3 linked regions of the Pelodiscus sinensis genome follow. The protein of the gene in region 1 interacts with the protein of each later gene in a pairwise test. Links are inferred from orthologs where the notes say so. Each region holds a gene or a part of one and is shown in the gene's direction. Other genes may lie near its edges.

Evidence for each region.
Region 2: the proteins of HSD17B14 (region 1) and MPG interact in binary tests that used the Homo sapiens proteins (3 or more experiments, as listed by UniProt). The two-hybrid records come from large-scale screens. The link is inferred for Pelodiscus sinensis from reciprocal best matches to the Homo sapiens genes HSD17B14 and MPG.
Region 3: the proteins of HSD17B14 (region 1) and NEK6 interact in binary tests that used the Homo sapiens proteins (3 or more experiments, as listed by UniProt). The two-hybrid records come from large-scale screens. The link is inferred for Pelodiscus sinensis from reciprocal best matches to the Homo sapiens genes HSD17B14 and NEK6.

The regions. Positions count from the first base shown.
Region 1 is NW_027465977.1:64,064-72,028, forward strand, and holds the start of HSD17B14 (L-fucose dehydrogenase), read left to right. Parts: upstream 1-4,913; 5' UTR 4,914-5,016; coding exon 5,017-5,191; intron 5,192-5,267; exon of another isoform or gene 5,268-5,548; intron 5,549-6,526; coding exon 6,527-6,571; intron 6,572-6,853; coding exon 6,854-6,954; intron 6,955-7,297; coding exon 7,298-7,364; intron 7,365-7,579; coding exon 7,580-7,671; intron 7,672-7,965. Other genes in the region: PLEKHA4 (pleckstrin homology domain-containing family A member 4), read left to right, coding at 42-142, 341-488, 584-663, 1,088-1,249, 1,515-1,710, 2,192-2,817. UniProt on the Homo sapiens protein: Catalyzes the NAD(+)-dependent oxidation of L-fucose, yielding L-fucono-1,5-lactone, which rapidly converts spontaneously to L-fucone-1,4-lactone. Can also act on D-arabinose and L-galactose, with lower catalytic efficiency. Does not use NADPH.
Region 2 is NC_134726.1:4,783,696-4,791,727, reverse strand, and holds the start of MPG (DNA-3-methyladenine glycosylase), read left to right. Parts: upstream 1-5,020; 5' UTR 5,021-5,365; coding exon 5,366-5,407; intron 5,408-8,032. UniProt on the Homo sapiens protein: Hydrolysis of the deoxyribose N-glycosidic bond to excise 3-methyladenine, and 7-methylguanine from the damaged DNA polymer formed by alkylation lesions.
Region 3 is NC_134732.1:24,211,345-24,218,992, forward strand, and holds the start of NEK6 (serine/threonine-protein kinase Nek6), read left to right. Parts: upstream 1-4,564; 5' UTR 4,565-4,723; intron 4,724-7,648. UniProt on the Homo sapiens protein: Protein kinase which plays an important role in mitotic cell cycle progression. Required for chromosome segregation at metaphase-anaphase transition, robust mitotic spindle formation and cytokinesis.

The DNA.
Region 1 (7,965 bases):
TGGCAGGGGGGGTCACTGACTCTGTTTTGTCTCCTTTGCAGGCTTCTCTCCGGCTGCCTCCCCCGTTCTGGAGCCTGGGGGGGGCTCAGCCCAGAGCCCCCTCCCAGGGCCGGATGGAAGGAGCCTTGAGCCATCTGCCAGGGTGAGGGGGGGGCTGCACTCCTGGGGGGGGGACCCATCCTTGGGGAGTGGGGACTGGCTGGGGGAAGAACTGGGGGCTGCTGTCAAAGGGGGCCCCAATTCTGACTGTCCTAGCCCAGCCCCCCAGCCCTGCCAGTGCCCCTCCCTCCCACCCCACAGACCCTGGCTCCCCCCCCCCACGTCTCTCTGTTCCCCGCAGGGCGAGGCAGCTGGCGTGAGGGACGAGGTCCCAGCGACGAGGGGGGAGACCTGGGGCTCCCAGCCCCCCCAGGGCCCTTCTAGAAGAGGGGCTGGGTCCCCCGAGCTGGACGGAGGGCCCCCCCTGCAGGAGACAGACGCGGCACCAGGTGCGGTTCCTCCCCCCTTGCCTAGTCTGTCTGGGGAAACATGCACCCCTCTTGTCCCTTCCCCGCCCCTTTAACCCCCTCCCCTGCCCCCACAGGTCTCCACTCGCCTCCAGCCGCCCCCCGCCCAGGCCCCCTGGAGCCCTGGGAGCAGAGAACCGAGGAGCTGCCAGCCAAGGTAGTTGGGCTCCCTCACTCCCCTGGGAGTCGGTGCCTGGGAGCCCAGATGCCTGGGTTATCTCCCCAGAACAGGGAGGGCCCTGGGGTGTAGTGGTTAGAGCGGAGAGGGGAGGGGCTGGGAGCCCAGACGCCTGGGTTCCCTCCCCAGATTGGGGAAGGGGGTGTGGTCTAATGGTTAGAGCGGAGAGGGGAGGGGCTGGGAGCCCAGACGCCTGGGTTCCCTCCCCAGATTGGGGAAGGGGGTGTGGTCTAATGGTTAGAGCGGAGAGGGGAGGGGCTGGGAGCCCGGACGCCTGGGTTCTCTCCCCACATCGGGGAAGGGGGTGGGATCTAATGGTTAGAGCGGGGGGGAGGAGGGGCTGGGAGCCCGGACGCCTGGGTTCCCTGCAGGTGTTTGGTCTGCGATTCTCCCCTTACCCCAGGAGCGTGTGCCAGAACCCCCTGGTCCCCACCGGGCCCGGATGAGCATTGAGGAGCAGCTGGCGAGGATGCGGCGGCACCAGGAAGGGCAGAGGCAGCATGAGGCGGCCAGGCCGACGCCTGGGGCTCCTCGGCCTGGCTCCCTCCGGACCAGCGCCAGCCGGGTGGGTACGCAGCCTGCGGGGGAGGGGCTGCCAGGGGGTGGGGCATGTCCTGAGGCCACACCCACTGTGCCCCCCCAGTCAAGCTCACCTCCGGCCTGCCAGTAGTGCAGGGCCCCTGGGTTCTTTCCAGGTTCGGAGAGGGGAGCGGGGTCTAGTGGTTAGCGTTAGAGGTGTGTGCCTGGGTTAGGACATGGGCGGGGGGCGGGGCGGACACGCTGAACTGCTTAGATTCCCTCCCTTCACTCCGCCTTCCAAAATTCTCCAGTTCCGCCTTCCAGCTCCCCCTCCCAGCCTCGGGCCGGAGCCAAGCCTGACCGACATGGACGTACCAGTGAGGGGGGGGCAGACCAAGGGACACTGGGGCGGGCCTTCCCTACCCCCCGAGAGAGACCGTCACCGGATCAGGAGCCTGGCATACGCGCTGGCCACCGAGGCCTCTGAGCGCAGCAAACTCATCACAGGTAACAGGGCTGGGGGCCTGGACACTCGGGGGGCGGGGGGGCGGGGTCTAGTGGGCAGAGCAGGGGGCTGGGAACCAGGATGCCCGAGTTTTACCCCCCCCTTTAGGGGCCTCTTTCTAGACCCCCTCCCCTCCCCTCCCCTCCCCTCCCAACGGGAAAACAGCTAAACAAACACAGTGGAAAATGGCTGGAATCTGGTTCAGCTGTTGGGGGAATTTCTGGCTCCGGCTGGCAGGTCCCTGGGGTAGGAACAGCTGGGGGGTGGGGGAGAGTCTGGGGCAGGGGGTGGGGCTGGGCAAGGGGCCCATTTCTCTTTAATTCACTGAAGATCTGAAGGGGTTGCCTCATGCCCAGCCCCGTGCCCCACCCCAGAGGTGGCTGCATCTCCATGCTGGGTGAGGGGTCGCCTATACCCAGCCCCCCCCACCCCAGAGGTCTCGGCTTTGGGGGGGGGTGACTCTGGTTTCCTCTCTCTGTGCAGGGAAGCCCCCGCCTGAACCCCAGCGGGAGGGCTGTGACCCCCGTCTGAACCCCTCCCCAGAGTCGCTGCATGCAGTGACCAATCAGCACTTACCGCTTACCATGATAGCCTCCAGGGAAGACCCAGGGGCCAATCACGTCGTGACTAAACCGTGCAGCCCGGCCAATCAGAAGACGGCATTTACCGCCCAATCCGTGCAGCGGGCAGAATCAGCCAATCAGGCATCGCCTCTAAATCAAGCGGCCAATTGGGCATCGTCTGTTTCTGAGTTTTCTCACTGGTTGTCCGCCTCGCCAGATGCAGCCAATCAGGCCTCGTGTCTGTCGGAGGCAGCCAATCGGGCATCGCCACTGCCGGACACATCGCATTGGGCAGCCCCGTTGCCTGAATTGGCCAATGGGACGTCGACTGTACACAAGGCATCCAGTCGGGCGTTGCCTCCGCTCTGGGCCTCCCAAAAGGATTGTGGGAATTGGGTGCTGGAGCAAAGGATTGTGGGTCACAAAGGCTTGGCCAATGGCAGGTGCCAGGGGCAGGGTGCGCATGCCCCACCCAGCCAGGTGGTGGCGTACCTGTGCGAGGGGAGCCAGCCAATCAGGATAACCCTGCTGCAATCCAGCTTCTAACCCATTGGCTCAGAGGCAGGGTCAAGTCCCGCCCCTTCTCTGCATCATCGGGGGGGGGGGCTATATATGGGGATGTGCCCAAAGGGGAGGTGGGGCTGGGACCCAGGGTCAAAGGTCAGACTGGGGACTCCCTAACCCAGTCACCAACCAGTTGATCTTGGGATCCTGACTGGTTTGGCCGGGAAGCTCTCAAGCGCTGCCCCTCTGCCCCACGGTCCTGCTGCTCCTGCCCTCTGCCTTAGAGCTGCCCCCCAGAGCCTCCTGCTCGCTGTGCAGGGTGTGGGGCGGGCAAGGGGGGGCGCTGATGTCAGGGTGTCTCCCCTCTCCCCCACTTCTGTATCCCATCTCCACACAGAGAGAAGGGGATGGAGGGAGCGTGGCAAGGCAGATCTCACACTGTGTGTGTGTCCGTCTCTGTCTCACCCCCCCCCCCCCGTCCTTCCCTCTCCTCTCCCCACCCAACACACACGTGGGGGGTTGTTACTTTTCCTGCTTGCAAAGTGGGTTCCTTTCGGTTTGGGACAGCTCCGTGCGTGTCATCGTTTTCGTTTCTCTAGCGCGTCAGTGTCATTCTTTGGGCCGTGAGTTCTAAACTGCCGCACCTGCCGTGGCCGGAGTCACCAGCCCCGTGGCCATTGCTGCTGGTGGAGATGGTCCCATGTCCCTGCAGCCCCTGAGGGAGGCAGAGCAGGGGGACTCCACATGCCGACCCCGCTCCTACAGCTCCCACTGATCAGTAACGGGGAACCGAGGCCAGTGGATGCTGTGGGCTCAGTGCCGGTAGAGGAGGGGCAGCACATGGCGCCACGGAGCTGTTGCTGAGCTGCCAGCTGCTTTCAGGAGCGGGGCGGGGGCAGGGTGGACGTCAGCTGCCTTAACCCCCCTGCCCCACCCAGCGGAAACCGCCAGAGTCTGCTCCCTGAACCCCTGTCCCTGCCCCGAACCTTCTCCTGCCCCAGACGTGAGTCCCCCTGCACCCAAATTCCTTCCCAGAACTTGCACCCTGAACCCCCCCGGACCCCGATCCCCCGCCCTTGGCTGAGCCCGGAGCCCCCCCCATGCCAAACCCCTTGGCCCAAGACCAGACCCTGCACCCCAACCCCCTACCCCAGCCTGTGTGAGTAAGTGAGGGTGGGGGAGGAGAAAGGGGCCTCAGAGAAGGGGCGGGGGAAGGGTATGTGGGGGTGACATTGCCCCTCCATCGAACAGGTGACCTTGGGGTTAAAAAGGCTGGAGACCCCTGCCCTAGCCCCATGCAGGGTCCCAGCATCTTGCTGCCCTCTGGTGGGCAGATTGGGAAGTGCACTCCCTGAACCCTCTTCTAGTCCAGCCCCCCACCAGCTCTGCCAGTGCCCCTCACAACCGCCCTGCAGCCCCTGCCCTAGGCTCCCTCCCAACACCCACCCTACAGGAGCTGCAGCGAAGGGGCCAGTCAGGGGCCAGTGGGAAGGGGGATTTGTGGGGTACTGGATGGTCCTCTGCCCCCCACCTGGGCTTTGGGGCCAGCAGATTTCAGCCACAGTCCCAATGCAGCTGGAGTCAGAGACGTGGGAACCTGCTAATTGCTGACAGCCTGCACTCTCCCCACTGCCAGGGGCTTTCTCTTTGGGCGGGGCGAGGGGTCCTTGTGTACCCAGCCCCCGCCCTACTGCAGTGGGGCCCTGGCCCAGCGCCAGTCAAGGGGCCCCTGTCAGTGTTCCCCCTAATCTTTTCCATCTATGTGTGGAATAAATTTTATGTGTACCAATGCATGTGCGGATGTGCACCACCTGTGCGGAAGAAATGTGCGTACCGAAGCATGTGCGGACGTGCACCGCCTGTGCAAACAAAACTGAGCTGTGGGCGCTCTGCCAACCTGCTCGGCTGCAGCTGACTCTCCCCTGGATGGCCGCCCAAGCGCTCAGCTTACAGGGCACACCGGTCCCTGGATACCCAGAACCCCACCCCAGGGGCAGCTGGGAACTCAGCCTCGATTTCCCCTGGACCCTCGGGGCGTTCGTGGGGGCACATCGCAGACAAATGTACTCAATAAATCTCATTTATGTTGCCCTTGTTGAGCCCTTGAATCTCTGAAACTTTATTGCCCAGACAAATCCCCTGCCCCCCATAGCCAGCCAGGCCCTGCCCTGTGGCCGGGTGGGAGCGGCCCCCTAGAGGGAGGATGCCCCGCCCCCGCCGGACAGGACTACATTTCCCAGGATGCACCGCCCCTCATGTGCCCTGCGGGCAGCAGCTTCCCTTTTTCCCTCGCCCCGAGCAGCTGCGAGCCCGGGTGCGCCCAGCACCATGGCCTCGGGGCTGCGCTACCCGGGCCGGGTGGCCATTGTCACCGGGGGCAGCCGCGGCATCGGCGCGGCCATCGTGAAGGAGTTTGGTGCGGGGGGACCTGCAGGGGGGCTGGGGGCATTGCGGGGGGGGGGGCGCTTCTGGGGCCAGGGGCTTGCGGGGGGGGGCGCTTCTGGGGCAAGGGGCTTGCGGGGGGGGGCTGCAGCGGGGTGAGGAAGCTTGGGGAAGGGGGGGCAGTAGGGGGGCGGAGGCGGCCGTGGGGGAGCAGAGCCCTGCGGAGGGGATCAGGGGAGATTTGTGGGGGGCTGGGACATTGCAAGAGGGTGGATGTGGGGCTCCTGGGGGGCTGGGAGTGGGGGGCAGACTCCAAGGTTGGGCTGCGTCTGGCATCTTCGTGGACTTTGTCTGTCTGTCCCGTGTCCATCTATTCGGCCGGTCGCTGACCCTGGGAGATGGGGGGAGGGGCCATGGGTGAAGAACGCGGCAGCGAACCCCCTGCAGCCCCCAAACTCCGCTGCTAACGGGGAGACTGGACTTATTGGGGGGGTCTTCCCCTTCCTTCCCCTCCTCCCTCCCCCTCCCCCTCCCCCTCCATCCCCTTGTTCAGTGGAGACGTGGGGGGGACGAGTTGAGATTAATGTATCTTGAGATGTGTGGGGCTGGCCAGCAGGGGTCAGCAGAGCTGCATCGTCTCCCACGGGCACTGCTGTGAGGAAGCTCGCAGCACCACGCGGGACGTTCCCATCTAGGGCCACTGCTGGGAGGAAGTTCAAATTCCTGGGTGAAGGGGGGCGTGTCCCTGTCTGGGGGCACTGCTGGGGGGAAGCTCGCAGCACCAGGGGGAAGTTCCAGTCTAGGGGCACTGTTGGGGGGGAAGTTCACATTCCTGGGTGAAGGGGGGCGTGTCCCTGTCTGGGGGCACTGCTGGGGGGAAGCTCGCAGCACCAGGGGGAAGTTCCCATCTAGGGGCACTGCTGGGGGGAAGTTCACATTCCTGGGTGAAGGGGGGCGTGTCCCTGTCTGGGGGCACTGCTGGGGGGAAGCTCGCAGCACCAGGGGGAAGTTCCCGTCTAGGGGCACTGTTGGGGGGAAGTTCACATTCCTGGGTGAAGGGGGGGCGTGTCCCTGTCTGGGGGCACTGCTGGGGGGAAGCTCGCAGCACCAGGGGGAAGTTCCCGTCTAGGGGCACTGCTGGGGGGAAGTTCACGTTGCTCTGTGTGTGTCCCGGTCTGGGGGCACTGCTATGGGGAAGCTCGCAGCACCAGGGGGAAGTTCCTGTCTAGGGGCACTGCTATGGGGAAGCTCGCAGCGCTTGGGGATTTACTGGTGCTGGTGTTTTTACTGCTAACTTGATTCTCTCATCTCCCTCCCCCATGTGCTTCTCCATCCCCTGTTGCACCCCGCTTTGTCCCCTCCCCCCCAGTTCGGCAGGGAGCCAATGTGGTCTTCTGTGCCCCCCAAGCTGAAGGTGAGAGATTGCTCCCTGTGTTTCTGGGGGTGAGGGACGTAAAATCCCGTTTAATTGGTTAACCATTCACATCCCTACTGGGACCCCTGTGGCCGAAGTTGGCAGCCTGGGGGGGTGGGGGGGAGGGACTAGTCTCCTTGTGCTGATGGGGGAGGGGGAGAATAGTTCTCTCTCGGCTCCCGAAATCCGTCCTCCTGCCAGAACCGGTTCCCCCCCCTTTCCTGGATAGTCTCCCCACCCCATGTTTGGTGTCTGTGCTCCATAGCCCCCTTTCCCTTGCAGAGGCCATGGGGCGGGCCCTGGAGCAGGAGCTGCAGGAAGCGGGGGGCCCTGGAGAGCCCCATTTCCAGCCCTGTGATGTCACCAGCGAAGAGGAGATCCAGGTGGGTGGGGGAAGTGGTACGGGGGGGGGGGTCTGCTCCAGGGTGGGGGAGGGGCAGATGCAGCAAGTGTATATTACTCTCTGTGCTTTCTGTGGGGGGATGGGCAATACTGGGGGGGGGGGAACCTCAGCTTGGGGCCCAGTGGGTCAAATTCCCCCCACCTGTGTCCTGCTCTGGACCCCCAATTCCTTCTTCCCCATCCCCACACCCATCTCCCTGCTCCCCCCACCTCCATCTCTGCCCCCACCTTGCCCGATTCCCCCACATCCTCCCTCCCCTCCCACACCCAGCCTCTTGCTCCCCTTGCCCCCCGCAACCCCCCACCCGTTCTCCTGCCCCCCAGGCGCTGATCGCGGTGACCTTGAAGCGCTACGGCCGTATCGACTGCCTGGTGAACAACGCCGGCCGCCGTGAGTGGCCCCCCCCATTGGGGGACAGGAGGGGGGGCCCCTGGGGCAGCCCGGGAGTGTGGGGGGAACCCCTGAGCTGGGGGGCTCAAGGGCCATAAAGGGGTGTCATGGGGGGCCCCGCGGACTTGACGGAAGGGGAAATGGGGATCCCAAGTCTGAGTCGGGAGGGGAGGGGGTTTGGGGCCGGAGTCCCACTTTTCACCCCCCACCCGCAGATCCTCCTGAGGAGCAAATTGACGACGTCACCGCCCAGCATTTCCGGGCCCTTCTCGACCTCAACCTGGTCGGCTACTTCCTGATGGCAAAGGTGAGAGTTGCCCCCACCCTGGGAGGGGCTCCCAGAAACCCAGGCCCCTTGCCCCACCCCAGAGCCAGCTGCATCCCAGGGCTAGGGAGGGGCTCCTGTATAGCGAGGCCCCGTGCTCCACCCCAGAGCTGGGGGGGGGGTTCCTGTAATCCCAGCCCCCAGCTCCCACCCCAGAACCAGCTGCATCCCAGGGCTAGGGAGGGGCTCCTGTATACCGAGGCCCCGTGCTCCACCCCAGAGCCGGGGGGGGGGGGGTTCCTGTAATCCCAGCTCCCACCCCAGAGCCAGCTGCAT
Region 2 (8,032 bases), on another chromosome or scaffold:
CACTTACAACATTCACTATTCTGGCATATAATAGTCCCTTTCATGGATACAAGGTAAGAGAAGAAGTCTTTGATTCCTGACCATGATTCCTGATTGCTTGTCAGAGATTCTTGCGTCCAAGGAAGCCAGCCCTTTTGAGATCCTGGCTTCTAACTAGCTCCATCACAAGATGGGCCTCATCTTCCAGGCCATCCAAGAATTCCAGTCAACTCAGAAAAATGAAAAATCACTAGCAAAAGCTGACTAGCTGTAGATTTTTACAGAAGAGGACTCTGGCTCAGATTAATTGAAAAGCCTATAACAGTCTGTATAGAAAATAAGATAGGTTTTTACTACTAAACAAACTTCTTTTCACAACTACTAGGCTGGAGAAATACAGCTACATGTAGTCCTAGCACACATACTTCCTTCCAACACCCAGACCATCTCTTTCCCTGGATTCTGTTAGTCCCTCTCAATTTTGGCCCTGTAGCCAGATGAATACAGTTTTCCTCTTCTGGGGTATCAAAGTACAAATGTGTCAGGCAGTCTTCTGTTACACCACCTAGACTGTGCCACTTTTCTGGTAGCTGGTAGAAGCATCCAGGCTTACCTTTCACTCCAAGTTCCAGCCCCAAAACCACATGCTATCCAATATTAGACCCTGTTGTTTTTTCCCCATCTACTGTGTCCCTCTGCTGGCCCAATAGTTACCAATAGAACATCCTCTGTTCCATTTGGCTGTGATGTTACACCCCATGTTTTTATGCAAAATATGCTTTTGAATATGAATATGCATAACTAAAATATGCTTTATGCAGAATGGGGCAAGTAACCTATCCTTCAAGAACGTGTGATTCCCTGCATGTGTAGATTCTGTTTGTGTGCATATATCTTTCTTGCATGTGAAGTTATAAATAAGAAGTGTAAACCTCCTTATTAAACTAAGTCTTCTAGTAAAAGCCAATAGTGGTAATTAAGGAACTTAATGGCCCAGTGCTTGAGGCAACAATCTGTAATTTGTTTTGTTTTTCCTGTAAGCCTAAACTGTAGGGCTATGTCTAGACTGGCATGATTTTCCGGAAATGCTTTTAACGGAAAAGTTTTCCGTTAAAAGCATTTTCGGAAAAGAGCGTCTAGATTGGCACGGACACTTTTCCGCAAAAGCACTTTTTGCGGAAAAGCGTCCATACCAATCTAGACGCACTTTTCCGCAAAAAAGCCCCGATCGCCATTTTCGCGATTGGGGCTTTTTTGCAGAAAACAAATCTGAGCTGTCTACACTGGCCCTTTTACGCAAAAGTTTTGCGCAAAAGGACTTTTGCCTGAACGGAAGCAGCATAGTATTTCCGCAAGAACACTGACAATCTTACATGAGTTCGTCAGTGCTTTTGCGGAAATTCAAGCGGCCAGTGTAGACAGCTGGCAAGTTTTTCCAGAAAAGCGGCTGATTTTCCGGAAAAACTGGCCAGTCTAGACACAGCCTAGTTGTTCCTACAAAGACCGGTGACCATGCTGCCTGAATCTGTTTTTTTTCCTTTGGGATGGGGAGGATGAAACAAAGACTTCCCACACTGGGAAAATTGTATTTAAGGAACAGAATCAATATATGATTGTCTTTAACTAGCTTCACAAACTGCTCCCCTCCACAAGAGGACACATGAAGGCTATGTCTACACTGGTGGCTTCTTGCACAAGAACATCTTGTGCAAGGGTTCTTGTGCAAGAAGTCTTGCGCAAGAAAACGTCCACACTGCCATGTGCGACCTGTGCTTTTGCACAAGAGCGCCCATGGCAGTGTGGATGCTCTCTTGCGCAAGAAAGCTCTGATGGCCATTTTAGCCATAGGGCTTTCTTGTGCAAAAAATCCCTGCCGAGCGTCCACACTGCCCTCTTGCACAAGAGAGCCTGCGAAGAGGGCTTACACCTGTTAAAAAAGAGCATAGCTCTTGCGCAAGAAGCCCTCTCTTACCACACCGTACTGTAAATCTTCTTGCGCAAGAGCGGGCGGGCCGTGTGGACGCTCTGCGGATTCTTGTGCAAGAACAGCCATACTTGCACAAGAAGTCGCGAGTGTAGACATAGCCGAAGAGACCGAGAAACAACCCTAACAACGGGAGCAGCTGTTAGGCCCAGGTCAGAGAAAAGATGAACTCTGACTTGAAGAATTTTACCTGAAGTAAGAACTACGGGGAGGAATTAAGTTATGTAACAATTTCTCTCAGTGTATTAGGCTTAGCTGGCATATTTTGTTTATTTTAGCTTATTAACTTACTTTGCTCTGTCACCACTTGCAATCATTATAATCCTACCTTTTATACTTAATAAAATCACTTTTGTTTATTATCAACCCAGTGTAAATAACTGTTACTTGGGGGACAGGGACAACAGATGTGTACATCTATTTCATTGATAAAGAGAACAAATTTTATGAGCTTTCTCTGTGTAAAACTTTTATTCAGAGTAAGACAGATTTACTGGGGGGACTGGTCCCTATTTGAGGCTGTACTCCTAAGTGTTGTCAAGTCCCTGTTATTGAGCCCTCAGAGAGATGAGCTATTATCAGTGTCTGTGTTACTGTGCTGAGGGTCTGTTATCCCAACTCTGTGCCTTTGCTGGGGGAGACCAGAGCTTCTGGCCCAGCAGGACAGGGTAGGCGAGCTCAGTGGTATGATCAGCACATCAGTGACATTCTGAAGGGGATGTCTGTGATCCAACCCATCACAGTGGTTACTTCATCCTCCCTCTAGTTCTGGCCAGCATCTCTATTCCCAGGTAAGACTCCCAAGGATTATTTTTGTCTCTTACTTAACACCCCCTTTTTTCCCCATAGCCCCTATCTTGCACCATCCTCCTTCTTGCGTTTTATATAAGCTCTGCATGCCTCTGCCCCACTGTGATTAATCACTTAAGAGGTTAGCAGCTCTGACTATATTCCAGGGATAGCCTGTTATAGGGTTAATAGGCCCTTTCTATCTATTCAGGACTGTGATGAGATATATACCCCATCATGGTCCTCTCCTGCAGATTAGAAACAGGGGTTAAAAATAGCAATGAGATTCAGCTGGGAAAACTGCAGCTAACACATCTGGTGGAAAATGATCTGTGGTGTGGGAGGCTGGTCCCAAGAGCAAGGGATACAAGAATTGCTTTGCCTGGGGATGGTGTAGGGGTGGGCAAGCACCTTGGATTTTATATAATAAGGTAATTAACGTGCCTGAGATGTGGAGGTAGGTAGGTTAGATATCGTGTAATTGAATCGTCATGTAATCACATGACACTTTAGTGGTTACACCACTATTTGATAGTCCCAGGGGAGCCCCCCTGCACTGTTACCTCTGTATCAGGGACAGCAGCATGGAATGGCAGGCGGAGCTGGTCCGTTTAGGGAGCCAGTTAAAAAAACCATCTCCTCAGGCCGACTGGTTGCCTGCTGCCCCACTATGACACATTAATACAACCTGAGCAGTTGGTGGATACTGACACGCTCCCTCTCAGGAGTGTCCTCTTTTTCGAAAGTTCAAAAATGGTAACCCTAGGGAACCAGCATTTAAGCTGGCTCCCCCAGCACCCTCCGCGCTGCCTCTGGAGGAGGCAGCAAGGGGGAGGGAGGGGGCCCACAGAGCTGCTCCTGGTGCATATTGGCTCCAGCCTACTCCCTCTCTCCATCAGTGGCAGCAGCGGGGGGGGGGGGGGTAGGTGGAGCTGGTGCTTGGGGGGGGGGGGAGGAGAAGTGTGTGTGGGAGACCAGATCACCCCCATGAGCCCAGGTTAACCCTGTGGGTACAGGATCGCTTCCCCAGGCGGCGGCGGGCACGCGGGGGCAGTGGAAGCGGATCACAGGATTTCACAGAAGGCTCCTGACGGGCGAACCATGGCAGGGTCTGAGTGCGCTCTGCCAGCTCCCCCTTACCTGCGCTCTCCGGGCAGCCCCGCAGCCAGGCCCATAGTAACAAGGGGGGGCGGAGGAGGGTCTCCTCTGAGGAGAGCGCGGGGCCGTGGGCTTTGACCGCAGGTGCGGGGGGGGGGGGAGGGGGAGTTTCGCGCCGGGGCGGGGCTGCGGAGCCGGCAGCGCGCGGTCCTTCCGGTGGAGCTCGGCGCGCCTCCTCCCGAGCTTGGCCTCGCCGCCCCCCCCTCCCCCCGCTCGCAGCGCCGGCTGGAGGCGCGCGGGCCCAGGTGAGCCGCCCGCACTGACTCCCCCCTCCTCCGTCTCCGGGGGTCTCTGGCAGTTGGGAGGGGCATTGGGCGCAGCCCTCCCCCGGGCTCTTCGGCAATTGAGGGGCACTGGCTGCAGCCCCACCCCCTCCGCGGCGGCAGTTGGGGGAGGCGGGGCACGGGGTACAGGCCCACCCCCTCCCCGGCGGCAGTGGGGGAGGCGGGGCACGGGGTACAGGCCCACCCCCTCCGCGGCGGCAGTTGGGGGAGGCGGGGCCCGGGGTACAGGCCCACCCCCTCCCCGGCGGCAGTTGGAGGCGGGGCACGGGGTACAGGCCCACCCCCTCCGCGGCGGCAGTTGGGGGAGGCGGGGCCCGGGGTACAGGCCCACCCCCTCCGCGGCGGCAGTTGGGGGAGGCGGGGCACGGGGTACAGGCCCACCCCCTCCCCGGCGGCAGTTGGGGGAGGCGGGGCCCGGGGTACAGGCCCACCCCCTCCGCGGCGGCAGTTGGGGGAGGCGGGGCACGGGGTACAGGCCCACCCCCTCCGCGGCGGCAGTTGGGGGAGGCGGGGCACGGGGTACAGGCCCACCCCCTCCCCGGCGGCAGTTGGGGGAGGCGGGGCACGGGGTACAGGCCCACCCCCTCCCCGGCGGCAGTTGGGGGAGGCGGGGCACTGGCTGCAGCCCCACCCCCTCCCCGGCGGCAGTTGGGGGAGGGGCACGGGGTACAGGTCCACCCCCTCCCCGGCGGCAGTGGGGGAGGTGGGGCACGGGGTACAGGCCCACCCCCTCCGCGGCGGCAGTTGGGGGAGGCGGGGTACAGGCCCACCCCCTCCCCGGCGGCAGTGGGGGAGGTGGGGCACGGGGTACAGGCCCACCCCCTCCCCGGCGGCAGTTGGGGGAGGTGGGGCACGGGGTACAGGCCAACTGTAGCTTCCCTCCAGCTTGGTTTGGTTGTGGCCCTGAGACAGGCCCTGGTGTGTACATGGGCTGTATGTGCCACGCCAGGAGTCGCCTGTCCCTGTGTGCACAGCCCGAAGTCAGGGGCAGGGCTGCCGTCCTCTGAAGGCAGCTGAGGTCTCAGCCTGGGAAGTGTGCACTGGGCATTGCAAAGTTCTGTCTGTGCTCCGGGAAAGGGCTGCTCTCCCAGCAGCTTAGGGTGCAGATGCTCCAGCAAGAACTTAAAGCCGGGTTTCCATTTTTCACTGCTGTGGAGTGTGTGCTGTGCACATGGAATGCGGCTACTGCCCAACAGCAGCCTTGCACAAACAGGTTAGGACTGTAAGGGAAGATTAGCTGTATTAGTCTGAAACCACCTGAGAAGTTCCATCCCAAGTCCTGCAAAAACAGACATGTTGATTCCTTGGGACTATTTGAGTGTTTACACTATTCATGTAGTGTGACTTAGTTCCACTTTGCCCCCTAGTGTAGACCTGGCCTAAATTTTCACAAGTTTCAGGTCTATGTCAGGGCTGAGTTTAATAGTGCTTGAAGACACGGAGGTAAACATAGGTAAATAGCATTGTGTGTTAGTGTCTTCAGTGGTTACCACAGTGATACTCAGACTATGGTTCACAAGCTGTATGTGTATGGTTCACAATCACTATCGTGATTTAATTGTTCACTAATCAGGATGCTTTTACTATGTCAGTTAATTGTTATCCAGTTGCATCAAGTTATTGACTTTTTTGTTGTGAGAATTATATATGTAAAAACAAAATATTTCCTGTCATGTTGCTTAAATATGAACAGTACCATGTAGGGATGTAATAGTGTAGTTGATTAACCGATAAGCAAACGTTTATAGGCTACATGCATTCCCTCCACCCCCAGTACATTTTTTAGCAGACTGGCCAGCAGCCTGGCTCAGTCCTAGCTCATGCCAGACCCAGCACCTACCCCCACTGCAGCTCTGTATTTAAAGCTTGTTAGGAGCCAGGTGGACAGGCAGCCTTGGCTTAGTTCTGGCTTGAACTCGGTCTGGGAACTCAGACCCACCCCCTATATAGGGTCTGTTGCCACTGGGCACTTTTGCCTCTATCAGAGGCAGCAGTGTGAGGTGCATCCGGTCTGTAAGGGGAGCTGGTTTTTAAACTGGCACCTGGTGCTTCCACCTGGCACCCGAGCAGGGGGCTCCTCAGGAGTGGGGCCCAGAGTGCACTGGCTGCTGGCCCCCACCCCCGGGGACTAAAGAATAGTCAAGTAACCAGTAAAAATTCATGAGGTTAACCTACTATTCAATTAACCGTTATTTAATATTCCTAGTACCATGGGGAATGAAACCATGAATTCACACTACTGTGGGTCTTCTGGGTAATGCTGATTAGTAATTTGGTTCTTGAACCACAGAGGTCTGAGTATCATTTGGCTCTAAGTAATCAGTGCCTCCCTTTTATGTCTCATGTAAAAGAAGGGGTCCCCATCAGCAAAATGCCTCATAACACCTTACTGGGGCATTGAGTTAGAATTGTGTCATAGAGCATAGTGACAGAACCACTGGCTGCTTTCTTAGGGAAACTTATTAATGCAATGTCCACTTGGCCTGGGGCTGCTAACTTGTGAATGAATTTTGACATCCAGACTTTAAAGAATCTGCAAAAGTAATAAAAGGGTTGCTGTTTTGTTCAGTTCTTTATGTAAAGGTGTGCTGGCAAAAAAACCTTAAAAGTATATTAGAAATTCAGGTATTGTCTACTTTAAAGACTGTGTGGATGACTGAAGAACTAGTAGGAAAATGACATTGTAGGCACCAAGGAAATGGAACTTGTGTGAAGAAGTGTTTATTCTGTTTATAATCGTGGTGGTTTGTTTATTTGTTAATGCCTACCTAACTCAAATGCTTGACAGTTTTGGAGGAAAAAATCAGTAAGGAAGAGTAACAATCCCATTCCTTCAGTTAAGCATTGCCATAGTTACCACTGGTGTTCTTGGCTCCTCCAAAGAATCCTCAGCAAAAACAGGAAATTCAATACTTATAAAGTCATAAATGTTAAAAATAGAAGAGACCATTATGATCACTAGTCTCATCTTCTGTGTCACGCAGGCCAGATAATTTCACCCTGCACATTCCTCATCAAGCCCAATAAATAACTAGAGCAGAGAGATAGTATTTCAGTAATGATCTCACCTGTGTCAAATACAGAGGTATTACAACCCAATCTTTTGTCATCTGCGACATTTAAATAATTGGATTTTATATTGTCTTCCAGATGATTGCAAATATATTGAACATCTTTATCAATGAGAACTGATTCTTGTGGCTCCCCACCAGAAGCCCAGCATCTTGAGGATGAGTCTCTTTTAGCACTGACATTTTGAAATCTGACAAGTTTCTAATCCATTGAATATGTGCTATGTGGATTTCTGAATGATACCGCTTTACTCAGCATGTCATGAGATACAGAATCTTGCAGAAGTCAAAACATTTTGCTTCTTGTTGGGAATTAATTCTACCATCCTTTAATTCTGTATTAGTTGGGTCTTGTATTAGACATTCCATTATTTTACCCAGGATCACTGTCAGTCTGTTTGGCCTATAATTATCCCAATGATCCCAACTTTTCCTTCCAGTCCCCTGGAATTTCCCAAGTATTATGAGATTTATTAACTACTAGCAGACTTACGTGGCATTGCCCAAGTCTTTCAGGGCAGGGCCTTCAGGATGTGGGTGTGTGCTGGGCCAGGAGTGTGTTCTCTCCCCCCAGCCCACCCGGGGCCTGTTCTCTCACTCTCGCCTCCTTGATGCTGCAGCCAAGGGCTGGGAAGGGGGAAAGGGTTTGGAGCGGGGGGGGCTACTTACTCAGTGTGGTCTGTACTGGCAGGCAAGATGGCATAGCCTCAGCCCTGCTGCCCCTGGGGAACAGTCTTTAATATAGCTCTTTAATATCGCTGCCTGTA
Region 3 (7,648 bases), on another chromosome or scaffold:
TGGCCCCAGACTCCCTGCTGCGCTTCCTCTTTGAAATGTACAAGAGCCCCAGTAGGCTGGCCCCAGGCTCCACGTGACGTTTCAATCTTTGAAATGCACCAGAGCCCCAGCTCGGGCCCTGATACATTTCGAAGTGGAAGTTCCGGCATGGAGCCCAGGATCAGCGGGACTCCCCGCTGGCCCCAGGCTCCACGCAGCATTTCGATCTTTGAAATGCACAAGAGCTGCTGCAGGGGCTCTTGTACATTTCAAAGACGGAATGTGCTAGTTCTTATCGACCAATGGAATAGTTGATGGAAATCCCATTGACTATTCGATTAGTTAATGAATTGAAATGTAACATCCCAAATGCCAGGCACTGGGTCTCTTTGCTCTCAGGTGAGCAGGTGACTAATGGGGATCGTTAAGGCAGGATTCCTGCCTGTTCTGGCACCACAAACCACACTGTACCCCAGAAGTGGCCCCGGCTCCTAGGCCAGAGGCCATGAGGCTCCATGCACTGCTCTGCCCCTGAGCACCGGCTCCATACTCCCACTGGCCAGGAACCAGCCACTGGGAGCTGGGGAGGACAGTGCCTATGAGTGAGAGCGGCACGCTGAGCCACTTGCGCACCTCAGCTTAGGACTCAGATCTGCTAGTGGCTGCTACCGGGGCACAGGATGGTCTAAGGCACCAGGGAAGGCGGGAAGCCTGGCTTAGACTCCCCGCTGCTCTGCTGACTGACAGTTGCTGGGGGTGAGTCCATGCCCAACCTGGCACCCCAATCCCTTGCCCCAGCCCTAACCCCCCCCCCCCACACACACACTCCAGAGCCCACACACTAGTCAAAAGATAGAATTATGTCAGGCCATGCAAATCCACATGCAGGGTACCACCACCTTAGGATGAGAAATCCCTCTTTTAGGAGCCATTAGGGAGTGGAAGTCAAAGATGAGAACTCAAGAACTTTAAAACTACCCCTTAGAGCTGGATAGTTACAGCCAAGCCTCAAACAATGCTCTTCAGAATCAAAGGATTGCTTCAAAGTTACCCCGAGCCTGAATTTCACCATTAGAGATACACTGGAGGAAGATGTGTTGAAATCAAACAGGTGTGGGTATTGTGGGGAAGCTGAAAAATCCTAGCTGAGAGAGACACGTATAGAAAGCATAATGCCATCTGTGACGTCTCTTGGCGTAACCTGTTCAGTAAGTCATTCTCTTATGCCCTGCCTCAGGTGTGAGTGTCTTGCTTTGTTGCAACTTGGTGTTAGCTCCCTGACACTGCCAACTTGTTTGTCACGTAAGCATTTGCCTGTGGGCTACACCAGTCTTGTCTTTGAACTGGTGAACCTCAGTTTCTGTCTCTTTCAATCATTCCTCTGTGATATCCAGCCCCTGCCACTGGTTACTCACAGAAATACCCAAACTTTTGCCCCCTCCTCCAAGAAACAGTGTGACCCAGTTTAGTAGTTTTGTGTTAAATCACTGCTCGTGTTAACTGTGAGTGCTTATACATCAACTTACCTTTTTTTAGTGAAAAAAAATGGAGAATTAACTAGAAGCGGGGAGAGGGGTGTAGAAAAGCATTTATAGCACGGATCATAAAACACAAACCTGGGTCTATCCTTATGAAGTTACCTTCTTACCTCATGAAGTAGGCTTCCCCCAAAGTTCAGCCTGTTGCAGACCTGGCTGGCTGGAAGCAGGATCCAATTTTTCAGGAGAACCAGGATGCATCCTCAGTGAAAGGTTGCATATGTTCCCCCCCTCCTCTGTTATAAGGAAAGTCTTTTATCTTTATTTATAGACAGGACAAACTGGTCTGCTGTAATGTTCCTTTTTTACCTCCAAGTGGTTTGGATTGTTTGCAGTCACTGATGATATTCCATTGATAGTCTTGGGAAGAAATAAGGCCAGACAACTGAGCCTTGCATTACCTCACTGGCTAAACGTGGCAGGATGATAGCTTCCCTCCTTGTGGAATCAGCCAGCACCAAGACTTATCTTCTGGTCACAGACTTCTACTCCAAGTCCATAAAGCATACTTCCCATCTAGTTACACTGTTTCTAGGCATTATTCCTGGTACATACATCTCACGATGATTGTATCTTGATAGTCATACGCTTTATGCAGATGCCTTACACATATTACTTTTTATGGATAGATATACTGCAAGACATGTTTGGAGTAACAAATCTATTAGGTCTGAGATTTATTTGCAAAGAATAATGGACCATCTAACATCTCAGGCCAAGTTTACAACTAGAAACTTTTGGTGGTATTGCAATTTGGTTTAGGGGTAGGATTGCACTGCATCATTTCTACACCTGCAAAAGCCCTAGCATAGATGTAGCTTTACTGGACTAAAAGTGCTTTTGCTAGTATAGCTTACTTTGCATATCAAACTTGCATAATCTATACTAACAAAAGGACTTTGTTTTGCCTGCGTAAGCTGAATGCGTGTAACCTAGGAAGGTTCTCATATGAATATACAGGTCGGACCTCCCTTGTCCAGCACCCTCTGGACCTGAGGGGTCCTGAACAATGGAGTTTGCCGGACAATGGGAGGTCAAGGCTCTGTTCCCAGTTGGGGCTGCGCTCCCTGTCACTGCCTCCAGCTCCACTCTGTGCCAGTCCTGCCCGAGGCTGCGTCCCCAGGACAGGGGCTAGCCCCATTACCCCCAACCCCAGCAAGTGCTGTTCACCCTGTTCTCCCAGTGCCAGCCTGGGCTGCACTCCTAGTGGACTCCAGCCCCGGCCGGGACTGTGATCCTGCATTGGACCAGTCCTGGCAAAGGCTGTGGTCCTGACCCCCGGCCCTACTACCTCCAGTCCTGACTGGGGCTGCAGTCCTTGCTGCCAGCCCTGGCCAGGGTTGTGCTCTTCACCGCGCTGTACCCGCTGGGGCTGAGCTCCCCATCGCCAGCCCTGCCCTGGCTGTGCTTTAACCTGGACAGCTAGGGCTCTCTGGTCCAACAACATTCGTCGTCCTGCTGGACCAGAGAGTCCCGGATTTTAGAGGTCCAGACTGTACCCGTGTAGCTACCTGCAAACCTTTTTGAGTGTAGACTACACTTTAAATTACAAGAACGTAATTTTATAAACAAAATGTATTTTTCACCATATAAACTGTTTGTTCATGCTTCTCACCCAGCTTTGATAGAGAAATCAAAGTAGTTAATTTCCCTTCTATTTATAAGTTAATTTCACCTTTGGATTCTCTTTCACTAATAAAAAGAACCCTCTATCATATTTAGTTGTAAAATACAGCAGAGAAATATTTAAATCTACCCTTTACCACAAAATAGCATTTTATTTTAAAATTGAAAATTTTATGGAAATATTTCTATTCCTTTTGTGTTTTGAAAAGTCCTATTGAATTCTAGCAAAGCCTAAATTTTAGTCTTGCACTAAGAACCCAATCCTACTTATTCACTGGCTATCTACTCAGAGGGTAGCCCTGCTTATATGTAGCTTTAAAAGCAATGAGTAGTCTTGTGGTACCTTAGAATATGTGTATACTGCAGGGTTTTTCTGGGATATCAGAGGTATCCCGGAAAAACTCTGCTGTATCCAGGGAACATGTTTGCTCTCCCACTTTTTTTTCCGGAAGTGCAAATGCGCTCTTTTAGAAGCCCTGTCTTCATTTCATGAGGAAGAAAGGATCTTCTGAAAGAGGGGGATTTTCTGAAATTTGGCCCAGTGTAGATGAGCCAAATTTCAGAAAAGCCTCTTCCAAAAGAGCTTTTTTTTTTTTTTCTGAAAAAAAAGCTGTAGTGCAGAGCTAGCCTTACAGACTAACAAATATATATATATTGCACCATGAGCTTTTGTGGGCAAAACCCACTTCATCGGATGAGCTGGAGGAGGGAGAACAGAAACCCAGAATTTACGACAGAAAAACTAGGGTTGTAAAAGTAATTCAACTGATTTCAGTGGGCTTAGTTACCTTTTCCATACTATTCAGTGCAGGTGTGTGGAAGGAGCGGGCAGCTCATGTTCTCTTCTGTGAGCATGCTGTGCATGCACCACACCCCCCAACACTGCACGGGGCGAGGAAAGCAATTCTAAATATAGCCCTTTGCCCCGGTGACAACTCATCTCCGCCCGCTCGCTTCCTGCCCCCCACGCAGGTTGAGGGGGAGGGTAGCAAGGGGGGGGGCAGCCACGTGTGAGTGAACCCAGGGCGAGGGGCCCGCGTGCACCAGTGACTCCGGGGGAGGGGGGGGCATTGCCCCCCAGCCCGGGCCGGTGAGTTTCGGGGGCGAACCCCACGAGCTGCACCCCCCAGCCGGGGCCGGGCGGGTAAATGCCCCTCCCTGGGGCAGACCAGGGACCCGCTCGCGCCCACGGGGGGGGGCTCCACTGCCCCGGGGGTGCCCGGCGCTGCACAAACAGAGCAGCCCGGAGCTGCCCCCCCCATTGCACCCCCGCGCTCGGGCCCCGCCCCCCGCAAGCGCCCCTCCCGGAGCGCGCGGGCTGGGGGGTGGGGGGGGGAGCAGCGCGCGCGCCCCTCGGCCCCGCCCCGCCCCCTCGCCTGCGGGGCCCCGGCGGCGGCGCGCGCGCTCCCGGGCGGCAGGGCCTGCGTGGCAGCTGGGGCGGCGCGCGCCCGCGCGGCGGGGGAGCCGAGCAACAGGCGCGGGCCCGGGCGGGGGCGTCGGGAGCGCGCGGCGAAGTTGTGGCTGGGACTCGCCGCGGCGGAGCGTGGAGCGGGGGCCCCGGGACTCGCGCCCGGCGGCAGGTAAGAGCCCCCCCTCCCCCCGCGAGCAGCGCGGGAACGGGCCGGGCTACGGACACCGGGGGGGGCACGGACCTGCGGGGGCTGGGCAAGGCCTGTGGGACGGGGGGGCACAGGGGCTGGCTGGGGGGGCACAGGGGCAGGGCAAGGCCTGTGGTACGGGGGGGCACAGGAGCTGGCGGGGGGGGGCTGTGGGGCGGGGGGGCACAGGGGCTGGCGGGGGGGGCTGTGGGACGGGGGGGCACAGGAGCTGGCTGGGGGGGCACAGGGGCAGGGCAAGGCCTGTGGTATGGGGGGGCACGGGCTGGCGGGGGGGGGGGCTGTGGGACGGGGGGCACAGGGGCTGGCTGGGGGGGCACAGGGGCAGGGCAAGGCCTGTGGTATGGGGGGGCACGGGCTGGCGGGGGGGGGGGCTGTGGGACGGGGGGCACAGGGGCTGGCTGGGGGGGCACAGGGGCAGGGCAAGGCCTGTGGGACGGGGGGGCACAGGAGCTGGCTGGGGGGGCACAGGGGCTGGGCAAGGCCTGTGGTACGGGGGGGGGGTGGCCATTGACCTGCAGGGGCTGGGCAAGGCTTGTAGTGGGAGGGGGCCCGGGGTGGCCACTGATGTGCAGGGCTTTGAGGAAGATTCCTGTCTCAGTGGCTCTTGGGCTTGCTGCTGTTCAGCCGGGGCCAGGGGGAAGGTCCATCTCGCAGGCAGATGCGACTTGCTCTCTTCTCTTGGGACACCTGTCTTCGTTCTGTCACTTTTTGAATGTATGTAATGGCCAGGTTAGGGGCTGGCTCAGGAATGGTGTGCTGGAGCCTTTGCTGCTGCCTAAACTTGCTTGCCTAAGTTTCCTTTGGTGGCCACTTCGTGTGCTATCCGCACAGGGGTTTTGTGTGTCTTTAGGATAAAAGGACTTTCCATGTCACTTTTATACTCATAGAGTGAGACAGGGAAAAGTCCTATTAGGACATATTATTTCTTCCCACCCTCTCCAGAGCTAATGCAGGATTGTTTCCTAATGGACATTCTTGTCCTTTGTTCATTTTAAATGTTCCAGACAAATAGGGTGTCCATCACTTCCTCTGGGGGACTAGTCCAAACGGGTACGTCTACACTGCACGGCTATTTTGGGATACCAGAGGTATCCCGAAGTAGCAACCCCACATCAACACAAGCTGCCCATTATTTTGAAATATTTTTCAAAATAACAGGCATACTATTTTGTCATCCCGGTAAACCATGTTGCACAAGGGATAAGAGATGGCTTGAAATGGAATGTTATTTCGAAATTTGGTGCTGTGTAGACACACCAAATTTCAAAAGAAACTATTTCAAAAAAGATTTGAAATAAGATATGCAATTTGCGTGTCTTATTTTGAATTTAGGGTGCTGTGTAGACTAACCCTAACAGACTAGAACTCGCTGTCAGGAATAAGTGTCACAAAGTAATGTGCTAGTGCGGTGTTTCTCAATCAATGGCACGAGTACCCTTAGGGGTACTCAAGAGAAGTCGGGGAGGGGAGGAAGTACGTCAACACAACTGAAATTTGGAGAAAATGGAATTTTTGTTTTAAGTTTTACAGCGCTTTATTATTTTTATACTTTTTACACCCAAAAATTTAATTGCCCGCCCAGCTACTATTAAGATGTTTAAACGAATGTGTTGCAATGGTAGAAAATTTTTGTGTGTGTCTGAAAACTGTAGGTACTGGGGGTACTTATAATTTTTTTTAAAAGGGGGTACTTTTTTTGGAAAAGAGGTACTTCACAAAAAAAAAGTTGAAAAACGCTTTGCTAGTGTACTGGGATCACATGGACATCAGTCTTAATGGAGGGGAAAGAAACAATGTAAATAGGAAGGCAGACAGGAGGAGATAAGTAATTAAAGGAGTTGGAGAAGTGTTGAGTGGTAGTGCCATGGCTTCCTTTGGTAATGTGACTTCCCAAATGTATTGCAACTCTTGAGTTTTGAGACTAACACTTATCTGGATGAATTTGAGGATAGATTGAAATAACACTAAAATGCAGTATGTTCTTCTTTAATGGAGGTTTGTTGATATATAAGTGCTGTTATGAAGGGTGTTAGCAGGCAACATTGTTTCAGGAGGTAAGCAAAGTTAAAATTTCTCTAAAAATAGGGCTATTTGTGTGGTTTTATGTGGGTTGGTGTCAGGTTGCTTTTTTAAAAAAACATTAGAGATGGTGGTGCTGTCTGACACACATACTTTAGCCAGCGGTTTCCGTATATTTCTGTTCTGTTCTGGAAGAGCCAAATCACCTCATGGAATATGTTCTCAACCATCTTCTAAAACATTGATTTAAAGGGAGTACTCTGGGGTTTTCTGGGGGAACATCAACTCATCTAGATATTTGAATAGTTTAGTGGGCTACATAAAAAGCAGTAGTGAAGTCTGTACAAACTAAAATTTCATAGACAATGATTTGTTTATACTGCTCTGTATACTATACACTGAAATGTAAGTACAATATTTATATTTCAGTTGATTTATTTTATAACAGTATAGTGGTAATGAGAAAGTAAGCCATTTTTCAGTAATAGTGTTCTGTGTCACTTATCAGTTATATTTGATTTTGTAAGTTTTAAAGTAAGGTGCAATGGGATACACAAGACATATCAGACTTTAGAAAGAAGTACAGTAATCTGGAAATATTGAAAGCCACTGCTCTAAAATCTCTTACCTTCTCTACTTTATTCTCTTCTGTGGTTTCATGGGCCATGCACGGAGCTCTGCAATTACTAGTTAGTGTATGGACTCTACTCTGAGAACCTCTCTACCATCAGACATTTTCCATTTGGGGACTCTTCTGTTATTGGGTTTTAACATTCTGCTGAACATTTTAAGGGAGAGGTGCCTAGCTAGTCTTAGAGTGCTTTTTTTTCTGTTATTCTTAAATGGTATAGTATCTGGAATAAAATC